Arabidopsis thaliana: one gene and its partner. The protein of the gene in region 1 interacts with the protein of each later gene in a pairwise test. Each region holds a gene or a part of one and is shown on either strand. Other genes may lie near its edges. The genes, in order: RAPTOR1 and ML1.

The links.
Region 2: the proteins of RAPTOR1 (region 1) and ML1 interact in a two-hybrid assay, tested with the Arabidopsis thaliana proteins (one study listed by BioGRID).

The regions. Positions count from the first base shown.
Region 1 is NC_003074.8:2,691,516-2,698,459, forward strand, and holds the start of RAPTOR1 (Regulatory-associated protein of TOR 1), read right to left. Parts: upstream 3,886-6,944; 5' UTR 3,397-3,885; coding exon 3,088-3,396; intron 2,724-3,087; coding exon 2,621-2,723; intron 2,510-2,620; coding exon 2,427-2,509; intron 2,348-2,426; coding exon 2,189-2,347; intron 2,098-2,188; coding exon 1,981-2,097; intron 1,870-1,980; coding exon 1,712-1,869; intron 1,148-1,711; coding exon 993-1,147; intron 896-992; coding exon 751-895; intron 666-750; coding exon 587-665; intron 502-586; coding exon 400-501; intron 199-399; coding exon 115-198; intron 12-114; coding exon 1-11. Other genes in the region: PYD4 (PYRIMIDINE 4), read right to left, coding at 5,239-5,282, 5,382-5,468, 5,576-5,689, 5,772-5,997, 6,067-6,246, 6,340-6,483, 6,715-6,885. UniProt on the Arabidopsis thaliana protein: Probable component of the plant TOR kinase pathway that recruits substrates for TOR. Modulates plant cell growth and regulates the activity of ATPK1 kinase in response to osmotic stress.
Region 2 is NC_003076.8:24,877,896-24,887,728, reverse strand, and holds ML1 (MEI2-like protein 1), read left to right. Parts: upstream 1-2,876; 5' UTR 2,877-3,576; exon of another isoform or gene 3,577-4,155; 5' UTR 4,156-4,175; coding exon of another isoform or gene 4,176-4,178; 5' UTR 4,179-4,245; coding exon 4,246-4,323; intron 4,324-4,458; coding exon 4,459-4,693; intron 4,694-4,861; coding exon 4,862-5,262; intron 5,263-5,377; coding exon 5,378-5,536; intron 5,537-5,621; coding exon 5,622-5,738; intron 5,739-5,809; coding exon 5,810-5,955; intron 5,956-6,107; coding exon 6,108-6,190; intron 6,191-6,284; coding exon 6,285-6,677; intron 6,678-7,100; coding exon 7,101-7,749; intron 7,750-7,896; coding exon 7,897-7,981; intron 7,982-8,091; coding exon 8,092-8,160; intron 8,161-8,246; coding exon 8,247-8,426; intron 8,427-8,575; coding exon 8,576-8,728; 3' UTR 8,729-9,222; downstream 9,223-9,833. Other genes in the region: AT5G61950 (Ubiquitin carboxyl-terminal hydrolase-related protein), read right to left, coding at 9,636-9,731, 9,822-9,833. UniProt on the Arabidopsis thaliana protein: Probable RNA-binding transcriptional activator that plays a role in meiosis and vegetative growth. May be a downstream effector of TOR signaling pathway and recruited by RAPTOR1 for TOR substrate.

The DNA of each region.
Region 1 (6,944 bases):
ACAGACAAGGCCTAGAAGAATGTTCACTTCACGTGTAAAGACATATACATGATAAAAAGGAGAAACTCTGTGTAAGCCAAAGGGAGAGAGAAATTAAAATTTAAAGAAGTATACCAGATCCACAGCCCATGAACCCATATCAAGAAATCTTCCAAGAAGTACAAGAGCACGAAACCGATGGCACTGGCTAAGTAACACCTGAAACAAACCAGATTCTATAAATACGCTAAAATGGCAATATGCAAACAAAATTATGATAGAACGTCCTGAAGGAAGCCAAAGAATGTTCCTAAGCCATATCCACACAAAACCCAGAGTGAGAAAATGGCAAATGAATATGAATCTCTCTCTCCCTCTCTCTCTCAGCAAAAGGGAAAATAAGTACAGAAATCTAGGCACCTGAAGAACAATAGGTAACTGCTCCGGTGGCTTCTTATGCTCAGATCCATGATCAAGCCACACCTCAAAAGCTGTCAGTTGCTCAGTAAAAAACGGACTTGGCTAGAAAAAGGATAGGAACACGTTTTATAAGCAAAACAAGCGCCGTCGTATACAATTGCAGGAAACTATACAAAACAAAACAAACCTGGAACTCTGTGCTTGGGTCCAGAACAAGTTGGGGAAGCTGAGAAAGACAGATTTCAGCAGCCATGTCCCATGCATCCCTGAAAAGCATGCAACGGATAGCTGAGTCAAAATCTAGACACATAACATTTTACATAACAGAAGAATATGGTTCTTGTTGAATACCACATATGATGTTGATGCGTAGGAGGCAGCATAGGGTGAGATATTGGATTACAGTTTGCGGACCGCATTATTCTCTCAGCAAGTAAGAAATTCCGGAAAAGGCTAGCGACCAACAAGTCCTGTCTGAATAATCTCTGGAAAAGTTCTGCAGGGTAAAACTATCATTCATGAGGACACAGAAAAGAAGTCAACTTGAAGAAGATTTACCCTTGATAAATTATGCAGAAAGTTTGGAGAAGTACCATGAGGAAGCACATTCCAAGCAATTGTATCCGTCACTGCTGTGAAAATCCAGTTCAACTCCCCTAACAATGTCTTACGATCGTTTTGCCGGCCTGGAATCCTGTCGATAAGTGATTCATCGATAATTTCTTTCAGAAGCGAACGCCTGCAGAACCTGCAATGGAAATCCTCTTGTGAAAAAGCTGCAAGCTAAACTGAACTACATAAAATGGTGATCTGTTTACTGGAAAAAGGTTAAAAAGAAGCCCAGAATTGAAACCGCACAGACTCAGTAGCAATTAGTTATAGAATAAATATCACAGAAGGAGAAGGCTATCAATCAGGATGATATCGTGAATCTTTTGGTATCATCAAAAATACTTAGCCAGGACAGAAAGAATTATTGCAAACCATACATCAGCAAACTTCCATATGCAAAGTGACTTGGCAGCTAAAGGTATTATCAGTCCTGGTTATCTCACAACTCTTATGATATGCTGTTTTACCACCCCACAAAACTAAAACATACGCACAAGGTCTTCTAAACAAAACTCTATGATCCATCTTTGGTCCCATCCAAAATGCTGCCGAAAAGTTTTGATCTTACCTCATGATGAAGCGAGAACATACTAGCTAAGATTTTATAAACTTAGCTAGACGGAACTTAAACTACATTTTGTAGGAAGAAAACATGACATCTGAGTACGCAAAAAAAGTCAGAGATGGAATGATGATTTACCATTTCAACGCCATTTTAATGGGCGTTGTCAGGCAAGACGTAAAAACATCAGCTGGAAACTCAACGCTCTGAGGAAGTGTCTCATGTACATCACAAGCAGCAAGTAGAATGCAGTCCCTTGAGGATCCAGAGGAACCAGAAGAACCCCAATCATGAAGCTGGCGTAAAGAGTATATGAATTTTATCAACTTATGGAACGAAAATTACAGACTCGAGTCCTAAACTCGACAGGAGATGTGTTCTATAAGTGAAGTGGTTGTTTCCTTTACCTCAGCAAAGGCATTCAGAATCATCCTAGCAGCAGAGCAGTCGAAAACATAGATGGAGGGTGTCTTCAACCAGGAATCAAGTTCACTGATTGGCAAGGGAATGTACTGTGTATAACTCTGCTCAAACAGAGAATCAATCAGCTCGTGGTAACAGACGAGAAGGAACAAGAACATGGTAGAGAAAAGAAAACGCTAGTAAAAAACAGACCTTGTTAAATACCCAAATTTCACCATTAGCTGTAGGTTTTGGCACACCATGCCCATTATAATGGAATAGAACTCTCTCGGTCTTTGCATATTTCCGACAAGTCAAGCACAGCTTCCTCACCTCATCTACTGTCGGATCAAGCTGAACCTTATAGCGGGCCTGAGAAATCATAAAATAAATAAGAAAAGCGTAACTTAACAAAACAATAATGATAGGGTGCAGGGAAAAAAATTGTCACCCTGGGTTGCCATCTCTCATACTGAGTGCTCAAATTTTTTCCAATTGTCTCGAGAGCTTTAGGCGGTGCCATAGAAAATGGATCTGCCATCAGAAAGAAAAAAAATAGAGATAAAATTGACTGTGGCGACAAAAAAAAGGGATAAACACAGAAAAGAAAGAGTGTAATAGGATTGAGTAGGCCAAAGTTTCAACCTATCCATGCCTCGATTCTAGCACAAGGAGATATCTTTATAACATCCGGCGGATCAACAGTAATGTTTAAACACAGAACTAAAGCTACACATCCTGTTTTCATCTGCAAAGAAGAAGAAGAAAAGTTAACAAAGAATATGAGACTTGCAAGAACTCCCCTAGCTATCAGATCCAATGAACACCTGATTTAGCTTCCGACGAGAAATAGAATTATTTCTGAAGAGACATTGAGATTGAAACGAAACGGAAACATGTATCTTTAAGGTTCAGCTCCACAATAAAAACGTTAACACAAGTACACAACCCTCCTCGGTTAACATTACCTAACATAGTAGCGAACAATAGCAGATTTTATAATGAATTCTAGAAAATGTAGTTGTTCTACCCGCCTCTTACATCGTCAGTTGCACTAAACAAGCTAGTCTAACATACTTGCAGCTACCAACAATGTTCGATTGAAAACTTACTCGTTCTTTAAGCCGCCATTTGGGGACCAATACGATCTCAGAAGTCCCCAAGGGAGCAGAAGCCTCGGATGCGTCGTGTCTAAGCTCGCAGAGCACAATAGTCTGAGGCAAGTAAGCCATGCTGGTGGCGGTGGCGGCTCCCTCCGTTGTACCATTCCCGTAGCTACTACTGCTCTTAGCCTCAGAATCCTTCCTCCGGGAATCACCGTCATCGTGACTAGAGACACAGTCTTCGTCGTAACGGTGATTGGAGACCAAAGAAACAGAAGATTGCGAGAACCGAGACACCATTAAGTCTCCTAATGCCATCCAAATCGGAGAACACACCCCCGAATTAACACACCCCCAGAAATCACGCAAATCAAATCCTCAGCCCTAGCTTTTTTGTTTGGATTGTGCGAGATACAGAAAATAAAATAGAAAGGAAGACGGAGAAATCCAGATCAATCAACAAAGCCGCTGCACCAGCGGCGCAGGAGCAGAGAATCCAGCTCGAAAAACCCTCGACAGAGAAGCGGAAGCGGAAACCCTAAGAATCAGGAGAAGCGGAGGATGAAGAACGATGATGATTGGCTACGACGGCGATTGATGTGGAAGCGGCGGCGAATTAACAGTGGTGGTGGTGGTGGCGGCAGAAGAGAAAAAAAAAAGGCAGAGGAGAAAGTGAGGATGCGAAAATTGGGATTTTGTCAAAGAGAGAGACAAAGGGAAAGTCTTCAATGCATTTGCGTTTTCTTTCCACTTCTCTTTCATTCTTTTTCTCCTTTCCGTTTTTAGTTTTACCCTCTTCAGATCAAAAATCCACTCTAATTAATTACTAACTTTAATGCAATGTTATTAAATACTAATATTATAAGATTGAGAGGTATACTAAATATCTATAATTTTAAAATTAATTTATGTTTAAAATGTGGAAATTGAAATTTTGTATGCATCATTGAGAAACAAATTCAAAGAACACCATCAATGGATCGACTAATTAACTGAGAAGTTAATCGCAAATTCAATCTGATTCTTTGATTAAAATGCAACTTAAAACTCACTTTTATTCTAATCACGGTCTAAATCTAAATTTAAAAAATCAGTCTAGTTTAATTACGAAAACAAAAATTCAAGCTACTAAACTAGTAACAGAGAAATGATATTAAATTTAAAAACGATATTAGATTTTTTAAAACTATATTAATTTTTTTTTAAACGAGACAATTGTATTTTCGTAACCATAAATTACTTAGCTGACACTTTGTTACGTGAGTTACCATAAATTCTTCGAATCACCTCTAGGATTCCGTACAACGGGGTACATGAAGGGATCATCATTGCACACGCTTCATAAGTATATTTATGTTTTAATCAGTTTTGTGTTATAACGTTTAAATTAGTGTAATCTAAACACCAACGGTTTTTCTACTCTTACATAGCAATGTCTGGTCTTCTAAACCGAATTCATCTAGGGTTTATTGTAGTTGGTAAAAAAATGAAAACCGAAAAACTAAAAATTTGGTGTAGGGAAAAAATATTGGGTTCAAATTCCATGTTAATCAAAACTTCAGGTTCCGTTTTGCAATTATTCCATTATATTATCAATTTTGGACACAAACATCAAGCTGACACTTTGTTTGTCTGAATAACATTATCAAAGGCCATATATATCTAAAAGTCAGCAGAAAAATATCACAACTCCCTCTCTCTCACTTGGGAATCTCGCATCGAGAAAACAAGAAGATTCGATGATAAGAAAGACACTATGCATACTTGAAGAACTTATATTCGTGCTGACGAGTCTCGTTTCCGCGATCAGGACAGCTCTCCGGACATCGTTTTCCTACTCCGCCGCGGCGCCGCCATTTCTACCACTTCCTCGTCTTTGATGACCAACTGTTTTGCCCCACAGGTGTATCATTCAAGTTTTACTCTAAACTCGAAACTTCGGATCAATATATGTATTTGTGGAATATCATTAGCAGCGAGTTTTTTATTTATTTGTAGATTCTATCAAGTGTATACAGTACTGTACATTTAGTTACATATACTTGCATCTGTGATATATTTCGGTAAACACCAATTGTAATTCTACTTTATGATGTATTGTGTTATTTATATACACATACAAGGGTGAGTGATCATTAGAGAACGGATAAAGATAGTAAATCACATCTTGGACATGGCGTGATCCATCACATCCACGAGGAAATCTACAAAATACAAGATTTGAAACAACATAAATCATGAATAAAAAAATGAAACAAAAAGAAACCAATTTGAAGATATATATGTTAAACTAAGGAGCTAACCAGCGTCGGAGAGGGTGAAGCAGAGAGGAGGAGTGATTCTGAAGACATTCCCATAGAATCCACCTTTCCCCACCAACACTCCCATTTCTTGATACCAAAAGATTTGTATTAAACACTATCTTAAATGCATAAGTATCAACTTTATATGATGAGAGTGATCAATTTCACTTGGTTTAGGATTGAACACAACTAACCTTTCATTTGATCCATTAAATGAAGGGTCTCTGCTTTTGCAGGAGTTTTTAAGTCGCGGTCTTTGACAAACTCAACTCCTAGCATCAATCCTCTCCCTCTCACGTCTCCAATGACTAAACAAATTAGAGAAAGGATAAGATATTCAATAAAGAAAAATTTTAAAATTGATTTTAATTTGGACAAGAAGTAACTCACGTTCGTATTTGTTTTTGAGTAGCGTAAGTCTACGTTTAAGATGTGAGCCAACGAGGTTAGCATTCTCTTGGAGCTTCTCTTCGTGAAGGACTCTAAGTACTGCGTGTCCTGCGGCCGTGCACATTGGATTTCCGCCGAAAGTATTAAAGTAACTCCGACGGCTTAAAACGCCGGCAATCTCCGGTGTCGTCACAACCGCTCCAAGTGGTATACCGTTACCGATCCCCTGCAAAATCCAAATTAGAATTGATGATGATAAATTGATAACGATGCATGAATCATGATAATGATGAACCTTGGCCATGGTGACGATGTCAGGGATAACACCATGGGATTGAAACCCCCAGAAATGGGTTCCGGTACGAGCAAAACCGGATTGGACTTCATCGGCGATGCAAACTCCTCCGGCTTTCCTCACGATGTCGTAAGCCGCCGGTAAGTATCCGGGAGCAAGCTCTACGATTCCTCCAACACCCTGTTACAGGATATAGACTACATTACATGCATATTCATTATCATAATCATAAATACCTTTTTGATATAAGAAATAAGTACAAATTAATCTCGCCTGGATTGATTCGCCAATGAAACCGGCGACTTGACCGGACGTTCCGAATTGGATAAGATCGTGTACATCACTCGCGTACTTTTCACCGTCGGATCCAAATATTCCTCTGTAAGGATCTGGATTTATGGCGTGATGAACTCCACTCTGTTACAGAGATGATGCCTTGTCAAATTTAAATTTGGGTTGGTTACTTCTTCTCTTCTTCATATAAACTCATTTAGTCCAAGCTAATCGATTCAAACGTCATATTGAACTTTGATTCCATTCTAATTTTTGTTTGGTCAACACAGCTTAACTGTCTTACTCATCTACTATGATCTTAAGAAAAAATCAATTATGCTATATCAGATGGTGTAGATTGAAATGGAAAAGAACCTGAACGACGTTGAATTTCCAGTTGGACTGAGCAGTGGCACCCATAGTAGCAGCTGCGTTTCCATGATAAGAGTTCCTAAGCGAAACGATGTCGTTACATCCTGTATACAGTCTAGCCATCATCATCGCAAGTTCATTCGCCTCCGTACCCGAATTCGTGAAAAACACCACCTACGTACATGATAACACATGTACATTTGACTTGCCGGTCAAGTCATCGAATAACCTTA
Region 2 (9,833 bases), on another chromosome or scaffold:
TTAGTGTATATTGATACAATTTACAACAGATAAAATATAAAACTATTTTGCTAGGCAAAGTATCTAGTAGCATTACAATGTACTTGAAAGAATTAAAATATTTAACATAGTAAGAATAGTATTTCAGAAAATAAATTATTCTCTTAGCAATGATTTCATTCTCAAGTTTTGAATATCTTTAGATGTTAACTTAAGTATCATATAAATAAATGATTAAAGATTTTCAAACTTCCAAGCATGTAGGCAATAGGCATGTGAGACCAGCGTGACACTACTAAGTCTATAACAAAGGCTTTTTAATTATATAATCAAATCTCGCTTGTTGATTAGCAAAACTGGAAGACGGTTCAGCGCCGGTTAGGTTCGGTTAAATACGGCTAACATCGTCTTAAAAGTGAGTGTTGCACACGTAATTTGGATGAATCCAACGGCTCGTGGGAGAAAAGGTGCACAGAGATTTTAGATGGAGGAGTAAGTAGGTGATCACAGCCCATCCTGGGATTTGCTGGTCAGCTTTTGATGTGTAAACTAATGGTAAGTTGACACGTGGATTACGTTGAGAAGAGCATCTTTTAAGAATAAATGCTTTTCTAATCCTTCACGCAGCGCCCAGCATTTAAAATAGCGGACAGTGACCCTCTCTCTCACGCCACTCTCACGCTCGGCTTATTTTTTGTCAGCTCAGCTTGGCTTGGCCGACTAATACTAGAATAGAAATTTTCTCTAATCCTGTTCTTGAGATTTTCTAACTCTAACTATTTTAAGAAACATTATTGGACCACTTTTATTTTATTTTGTTAATTTCCATTATTTTTCGTTTTTGGATTGGCCTTAAGCCCCTAATAAGTTTGGATTTACGTTCTAACTAATTGTCTAGTTGTATTATTTAGTAAGCAAGCATAATCGAACTAAAAGAAGCAATTTTTTGTTATTTGAAATCTTTTGAATGGAGTCCACACAATCTTTTAAACGGAAATTAAAGTTACAGTAAAGTAATCCTTTTAAAACAAATATCAAATTATAAATACAATGTTTCAACCCTTTTCAAAAAGGACTATATATGATCTACTACTAGATCACCACTTCTTGATATTTGCCAAAAGAAATTTAAGCTAGAAATATGAATGTTGTGACTAGTTGGATTGATCTAATTGTTTTTAAGTAAATTTTCGTTTTACAATATAAATATTTGAATTCAGTTTCGATCTTGTTTGAGAATTCTCGTTAAATTTTGCCATACTTAGCCCTATGAGCTTAACCGAACATTCTAAATTGGTGGGTTACCGAGCATTTTAATCGGATTAAACCGACTTGAACTGGTATGATGAAAACCTTCATTGAAGGAATTGGACACGTTGCTTACGAGGGGGAAACCAAAACGTTACTCCAGTTAAATAATGGCAGAAGTATTTTTTGATTGAATGTGATCATTATTTAAATGATACTACTATAAAATGTGTAAAAGAAACTTGTAATGAAGCCAAACAAGGCCAAACAGAATCATTACGAAGTGGAAGTATAAAATGACGTAAGGTCTGACCAACCGGTTTCTATATATCTCAGATTTTCAAAAATGGTTTTTGTTTCATCCAATACTAAAGGCAGTGTACTTAAATTCAATGGAATAAAAGATTGCATTGTCCGACGGAGATCCCAACACAAAACACTTGATGAATCTTTAAGCTAAACAAGTAAACATTTATATACTCTATAGAGTAGAATACATAAATAGTAAGTAACATTTAATATGGATCACATAAACTAATTCAAAGATAAGAAGCTGCAGTTTTTGTAAAATACATTCACAGACGAGATATCGTACACGACACTCACCTTCAGCCACATTTCACGGCCGATTGGCTAGCTACGTGAATGCATTTCCATTCTATTCCTTTTTTTTTTTTTCTTCCTATTTTTGCATGTTAACTTGAGACAAAAAGATGAATACATGCATTAATGTTGGATAACTATTTTTTTTATAGTCCAATACCAGTCTCCGATATTTATACCATCTTTTAAAAACGTTTTATTTTAGATCATCTTTTGATATTTCCATTAAGTAGTTCGAACCTAGTCATGCTAAATCTGATAATATGGAGAGATTTAACCATCAAACAAATCAACTTCACTTGAAGTCTTCAATAGATGCTAGCTGATTATTATTAGTATTTAGTAGTTTATTTTTGTTATGGCGCCATTCATTAGATTGTACTACAAACTTGTAAGAATATAAAAGTGAGACTTGACTTGAGAGGTAGGGAAAACAACAAAACAAGAATGATAAAGACAGTGAATATAGAAGTAAAAGCAATGATTCAATCTCGTCAATAATAAAAAAAAACTAATGAATGAAAATAGCGTTTATAAGATATAATCTTGAATCAACCAACCAAACATTATCTACAAAGATTATTCAATGACCAGATGAAGATTTATTTCTCGGTAACTTATTTAGCAACATAAGTATCTTTTTTTTTTTTGGAACAAACATAAGATCTATTTATATCTCAAACAAATGTGACCATATATAATTGTTATAATAAGATTTCTTTTTGGGTTTAAAAAATAAAATCACATTTTCAAATTTTATTTTTGCAAAGAGTAAAGAAACCTTAAAACAACTAGTACCAAACATCTTTCTTAAACTCTAACTAATATAGGATTAATGTTCTTTTTGCATTTAAAATCATGTACGAGACTAAAACATAAGCAAAAATGTGTCAACTAAAAATGTCAACTATATCAATAACATTAAAACAACCTTTTAATACTATTTTCTTCCATAATACTAAGATTTGAAATTCTAACTTTAATTTGTGCAAGTAAAGTTTTGTAGATAAAGCAAATGAATCACATGTTTAAAAAGAAAACCAAATGGTCCATTGTTTTCATAGCCGGCTACTTTGGTTATTAGCCGGGACTCGACGACTTGCCGTCGAGACTCTCGTGTGAGTCCGTAATTATTTATTCTTCAACTAAAATCAATAAACTATTGAGTTATAATCATAATCGAATGGTCCAGATTCAAGCTCATACCATACCACTAAATCCATGGTACATACAACGTAGCAGAGTCCTTCTCTCCTTCCTTCCCTCTTTTGTTTTTTCCTCTCCCTCTCATTTTTTTTGTTCTCTAAACCAACTAACCGCAAAAACCAAAAAAACCCCCCAAAAAAATAAAAATCTCTCTCTCCTCTCCGTTTCTCTCTCTGTCGGAGGGAGTGCCGGAATCGCGCGTCGACGGGAAGAATATCGCCGGAAAAGCTCAAAAATCATCGCCGGTCGCACGAATTATTCGTTGGAAACAACGCGTCGTGAGAGGAGGGGAAATTCGAAAAGAGAAAGAAAAAAAATTGAAAACGCCGATTCACTTTTTTTATATATATAATATAAAAAATTTCTTTTACGGAATTAAATATTCTGTGATGGATGCGATTGGATAGAAGGAAACAAAAAGGAAAGGAGGAAGATAAAAGAGAGAAGAAGGAATTATTCTCTTCTCTCTTCTCTTTCATCTCTGTCTACATCGCTGTTTTTTTTTTTCTTCAAGGATCGTGATACCTGAAGAAGAAGAAGGTAAAAAATAAGAGTTAACGAGATCCACTGTTTGTTGAAAATCTGGTTTGAATTTGTTTAAGAGGAAGCATAATTGTGTTTGTTTGTGATTAGGTAAGTTTTCTTATTTTTTTGGTAGCTGGTGGTGATTAGGGTTTTTATTTTTATGGTTTAATAATTTGGAAATGGTTTAATTCCGTGCCGAATTTGTGAATTAGGTAAGAGTTGGTTCGCTGTTTGATTATAATGAGCTGCACAAGGATCCGGTATTAGGCGAATTCTACTCTTATTGCTTCTGGATGTACCTAATCGTCTCTTCTAGATATTTCTATGAGCTTAAAATGCAGCGATTTGATATGTTTTGCCTCTCTAGTGGTTGAAGTTGCTAACTTTGTTTTATCCTTGGACTTCGCGTAATTCTAGTAGAAATCTTCTGTTTCTCTACTTTTGTAGTTCTTTTGCTTGATTTTTTTGGCTTGTACGTGAGTAATTGAGCACTTTTATGTGTCGTTTTTGCAAGATCTTCCTCGCAATTGAGAAATGCATTTTGTTTATGTAGACACTGGTTTTGACTTGACCACTTTTTTTTTTTTTTTTCAGGTTTTTTCAGGGGAAGTGATATGGTTCGTTGAAATAAGTTTAAAGTTTTAAAAGATTTTGATTCTGGTTTTATTAGTCAAATTTTGTAAGATGCCGTCTGATATAATGGAACAGAGAGGTGTTTCAACACCTTCCCACTTTCATGAAGATATTCATATTACTTCAGAGGTAAACTCTTTGTTTTCATTTGTTTCAGGATTTAAACTGTGTAGCTCTAGAATTGCTGGTATCATATTTCTCACGTATGACATTATATCTGCCACTAGTTTTTCTCAACTATACTTGTGCTTTTTTGTTCGGCAGAGGCAATTTGGGTTTATGAAAACAGACATGATGCCTGAAAACCAAGGTGGTCGTGATAGACTTTCAAGTATGCCAAAGAGTTCCTGGACATCTGAAAGTTACCAGCTGAAGCCACAATCTAGTTTTTCTGGGTCGCACCCCTCTGGTAGCCCTAACGCAAGAAACACTACAAATGGTAGTCAGTGGGAAAGCAGTTTATTTTCCAGCTCAATGTCTGATTTATTTAGTAGAAAGCGTAAGCTTCTGGTTCACCTTTATGGTTTTTTTAATTATTGTGTTAGATTTTTTATTCAGCTTCCTAAAATCTACAATCCTCTATGGTAAAAAAACATTGTTACTTGTGTGCTCTGACTTACTGTACTTTAACTACTTGAGCGTGTCTCCAACTTGCTGTTTTTTGCAGTGCGGCTACAGGGAAGTGATATGCTATCCACTATGTCTGCAAACACAGTTGTTACCCACCGTGAAGAAGAACCGTCTGAATCTTTGGAAGAGATTGAGGCACAAACTATTGGAAATCTTCTCCCAGATGAAGATGATCTTTTTGCAGAAGTGACAGGTGAGGTTGGGCGTAAATCTCGTGCTAATACAGGAGATGAGTTGGATGAGTTTGACCTCTTCAGCAGTGTTGGTGGCATGGAACTAGATGGAGATATTTTTTCTTCTGTGAGTCATAGAAATGGTGAGAGAGGTGGCAATAATTCTGTTGGCGAGCTTAACCGTGGGGAAATTCCATCCAGAACACTTTTGGTCGGAAATATCAGTAGCAATGTTGAAGACTATGAGCTGAAGGTCCTTTTTGAGGTACCTTCTTTCAGCAGCAATTTTGGTTCGCATGGATTCTTTACTTAGGAAATGTAAGGTATGTAGAAATTTTGGGATTACTTACTTCGTACTGAGGATACATTTGCTTGTTCAGCAATTTGGAGACATCCAGGCTCTTCATACAGCTTGCAAAAATCGTGGCTTTATCATGGTATCGTACTGTGATATAAGGGCTGCTCAGAATGCGGCGAGAGCACTCCAGAATAAGCTGTTAAGAGGAACAAAACTTGACATTCGTTATTCTATCTCTAAGGTATTCACTGTTCTGAAAGAAGATTTTGTCGTTTGCTATATGGATTGCATTTGTGACTTGTGCTTACAATTTTTCTTGCTATCAGGAAAATCCTTCACAAAAAGATACAAGTAAAGGAGCCTTGTTGGTTAATAATCTCGATTCTTCTATTTCGAATCAAGAGCTGAATCGACTGGTCAAATCGTATGGAGAGGTCAAAGAGGTTGGTATACTGGGGTTCTCCCTGTATTTGAGTTCTGAGATTGATACTTATTCGGTTTCTGTGGTTTGTAGATTCGTAGGACCATGCATGATAACTCACAGATATACATAGAGTTCTTTGACGTTCGAGCTGCAGCAGCTGCTCTTGGTGGACTAAATGGACTTGAGGTTGCTGGGAAGAAGCTTCAACTTGTGCCGACCTATCCAGAGGGTACAAGGTGGTGATTGGGCATTTTCACCTGCTTTATATTCCATTGTGGGCTGTGAAATTGATGCAAATGCTAATCAAACTGATTTGAACATGTGATTTGTTATCAAGTCTTTACATGGACGTCAACTGTATTAATGTATGATTCATTATCTTTTTCAGATACACGTCGCAGTGTGCTGCAAATGATACTGAAGGGTGTCTACCTAAAACGTCTTATAGTAATACATCATCGGGACACATAGGTATGCCTTTACATCTATGGTTTATAGTTCTTTTTTCTTCAATCATCAATCATCTGGGGACACAAATCATTGCAGTTAAATATCTCTGTTTCAGGTAGACATTTCCCAGGAATGATTTCTTCAACCTCCAGTGATGGTGGATCTATGCGGGTTATACATAATTCTATTGGATCACCTGTGAATTCCTTCATTGAACGACATCGTAGTCTCAGCATTCCTATTGGATTCCCACCTTCGGCAAACGGCATCTCAGCAAGTAAGCCTGTAGGACTTCAGGAGCATGGCCACCATTTTGATAATTCAAATATGGGGATCCAAAGCATGCCAAATCTCCATCCTCATTCTTTTTCGGAGTACGTCGACAACTTTGCAAATGGTAGTCCATATACGTCCTCTGCATTTTCTGAAATGGTCAGTGATGGCTCAAAAGCAAATGAAGGCTTTATGATACATAATGTTCGTGGAGTGGAAGGCTTTAGTGGAGGCGGTAAGTTCTCTATCGCTAATGTGCTACTGTCTTGATAAGCTCTGCTGTAGTACATTATCAGAGCACAATCTTTAAGTTACGACATTGAAATGGTCCTTACAATTTTAGTAGACTGTGAAATGCTACAGCAATGCACAGTAGGTACTGTTGTCTGGATAGACAACTTGTTTACAACTGTTTTTTTTTATTTTTGTCATCCTGGGAAAGACAGTATTAGCATTATGTTCTTAATGGCCAGTTATCTAAACAGATTAGGCAGTGTTGTACTGGGGTTTGAATATGAGAAGGGGTTGAACCTAATTGTGTATATTATCATTGCTAAAAAAATTTTGATATGGAAGATTGTAATGAAGTTTTTCTTTCAACTGCCATACGAAATATTCTCTTTCCTTACTTTTAGCTGTTGTTATCTTTTGACTGTAGGTATAGGATCTCCCATGCATCAAAGCTCTCGCCGCCCTATTAATTTATGGAGCAACTCTAACACTCAGCAACAAAATCCGTCAAGTGGCATGATGTGGCCTAACTCGCCATCTCACATCAACAGCATTCCTACTCAGCGCCCACCTGTTACTGTATTCTCTAGAGCACCTCCTATAATGGTGAATATGGCATCTTCCCCTGTGCACCACCACATTGGATCTGCGCCGGTATTAAATTCTCCTTTCTGGGACAGAAGACAAGCCTATGTAGCTGAATCTCTAGAATCATCTGGCTTCCACATAGGTTCTCATGGTAGCATGGGGATTCCTGGCTCTTCACCATCACATCCAATGGACATTGGTTCTCATAAGACTTTCTCTGTTGGTGGGAATCGCATGGATGTAAATTCCCAAAATGCTGTCCTGCGATCTCCTCAACAGTTATCTCATCTCTTTCCTGGAAGGAGTCCAATGGGTTCGATGCCAGGGTCATTTGACTCGCCAAATGAACGATACAGGAATCTCTCTCACCGAAGAAGCGAATCTAGCTCTAGCAATGCTGACAAAAAACTGTATGAGCTTGACGTTGACCGTATATTACGTGGGGAGGACAGGAGGACAACATTGATGATTAAAAACATTCCTAACAAGTACGTGAACTCAGTGTCTCTCTTTTATTTTTCTTGTCTATATCTTCTGCAACTATTTATAGTTTGTGTCTTTAGTTAAAGATGTATTCTGTTTTCATCTTTGACTCTCTTTTTTTTTTTTTTTTTTTTAATTCTGCTATGGTTTAGGTACACTTCGAAGATGCTTCTATCTGCTATTGACGAGCATTGTAAAGGAACTTATGATTTCCTTTATTTGCCAATTGACTTCAAGGCAAGCAGGCGTCCTACCTTTTTTATATAAGAAAGTCTTATTAAGCAGACACGTAGAGGTTTTGGTATTTTGCAATAACGATCTAATCTAATCTTACCCTGTCATTTCAGAACAAATGCAATGTGGGATATGCTTTCATCAATCTTATTGAACCTGAAAAGATTGTCCCATTTTTTAAGGTACAGTCTCATATTGCTGCTTTTTCTTATGGCTTTTGTCCTTTTGGGAGAGCATTGGCTAAAAGCTCTTAAAAAAACATTCACAGGCATTTAATGGCAAAAAGTGGGAAAAGTTCAATAGCGAGAAGGTGGCAACGCTTACGTATGCTCGTATCCAAGGGAAAACAGCTCTTATTGCCCATTTCCAGAACTCAAGCTTAATGAACGAAGACAAACGTTGCCGACCTATTCTCTTCCACACTGATGGTCCAAATGCTGGTGATCAGGTAAAGATTAAAGCTTCATACAATTCCGTCTTGTTTGGTTCCCATTATCCATATGCACTTCCTTCACTTCAAGTGTGATTTCATTATATCATAAGATTAGTGAGTAAAAGAAGATTCATATGATTTCCTTTGTTGTTATATCACCACAGGAACCATTTCCAATGGGAAGCAACATACGGTCAAGACCAGGCAAGCCACGAAGCAGTAGCATTGACAACTACAACAGCTTTAGCATCTCTTCCGTTTCTGAAAACCGAGAAGAAACTCCTAATGGAACTGATCCGTTCTTGAAGGAGAACTAACCAATGAGCAAAACAAGCAGAGGTAAAACAAAGAACACATAAAAAGAGACACGAAGATAACAAGAAGGTTAAATATATATAAAGTTATTATTATATGATATCATCCACACACCCTAGAGTTCTGTAAATCGGGGGGTGTTAGATTTACCCTGACAAAACTCATTTTGCAGTGAAGAAATTTTTTGGAGAGATGAAAAACTTTGTTGACCACAAACCTTTTACCCAGGTTGTTGTTGCTTCACCAGTTTTGTTGTATTATCAAAATCCCCTGAAAAATATTGCAGGTTTTTTTTTTGTTCCTCTTTTTTTTTGGGTTTTGGGGTTATATTCAAGGATTTTTGGTTCTTGCTATCAATGTATAACAGCCTTGGATTACACTCATCTTCTTTGCTGGCTATTTGTGGCCATTCTACGTTGTACTCTTTTGGACCCTTTTTTGAATGCTTCTATTTTGGGATATATAAAAATATTATTTTTCCTAATTTTTGTTCTGTGGCGAGTTCTATCTGAAGCAGATGAATTTTACGAAGGGCACTGACTAATATCATTCCGTGGGTTTCATTGAGTATATTTTGCATAAGGACATAGTATATGGTTTCCTATGATATATCTACTGGACAGAGTTTGGTATTATTATATGATACGACATGAAGAAACCTATAACTAATTCTGAAGTTTCTTAAACAAATATTTATTCAAAGCTCTGTTATAATGTTTGGTGCTGTAAGAGTAAGGTCATACGATACAAGAGCCAAAAATAATCTGAAGTTTCTTATCAAGATTCAACAACAACAACAAGAAAAAGGATTCTGTGTAGATAACAAATGTAATTTCAAAGGGAACCCTCCCTGAGAGAACAGAACACGATTCTGGATTTCTCCATATTTTGATACAATACTGTCACTTCCTAGGCCATCAATCGGACAGATTCATATATCAGAATCTCTGGCCGAACCTTCCTCTCTCCACAGAATCTGACCACATTCTTCCAGTCACCAACATCCTATGCCATCACAACACATATAAATCATGTCTGGCCTATCTAGATTTACTATTCAACTCATTGAAGGAAAAAACAACTGTTTCGACTTACCTCTCCTGCAAA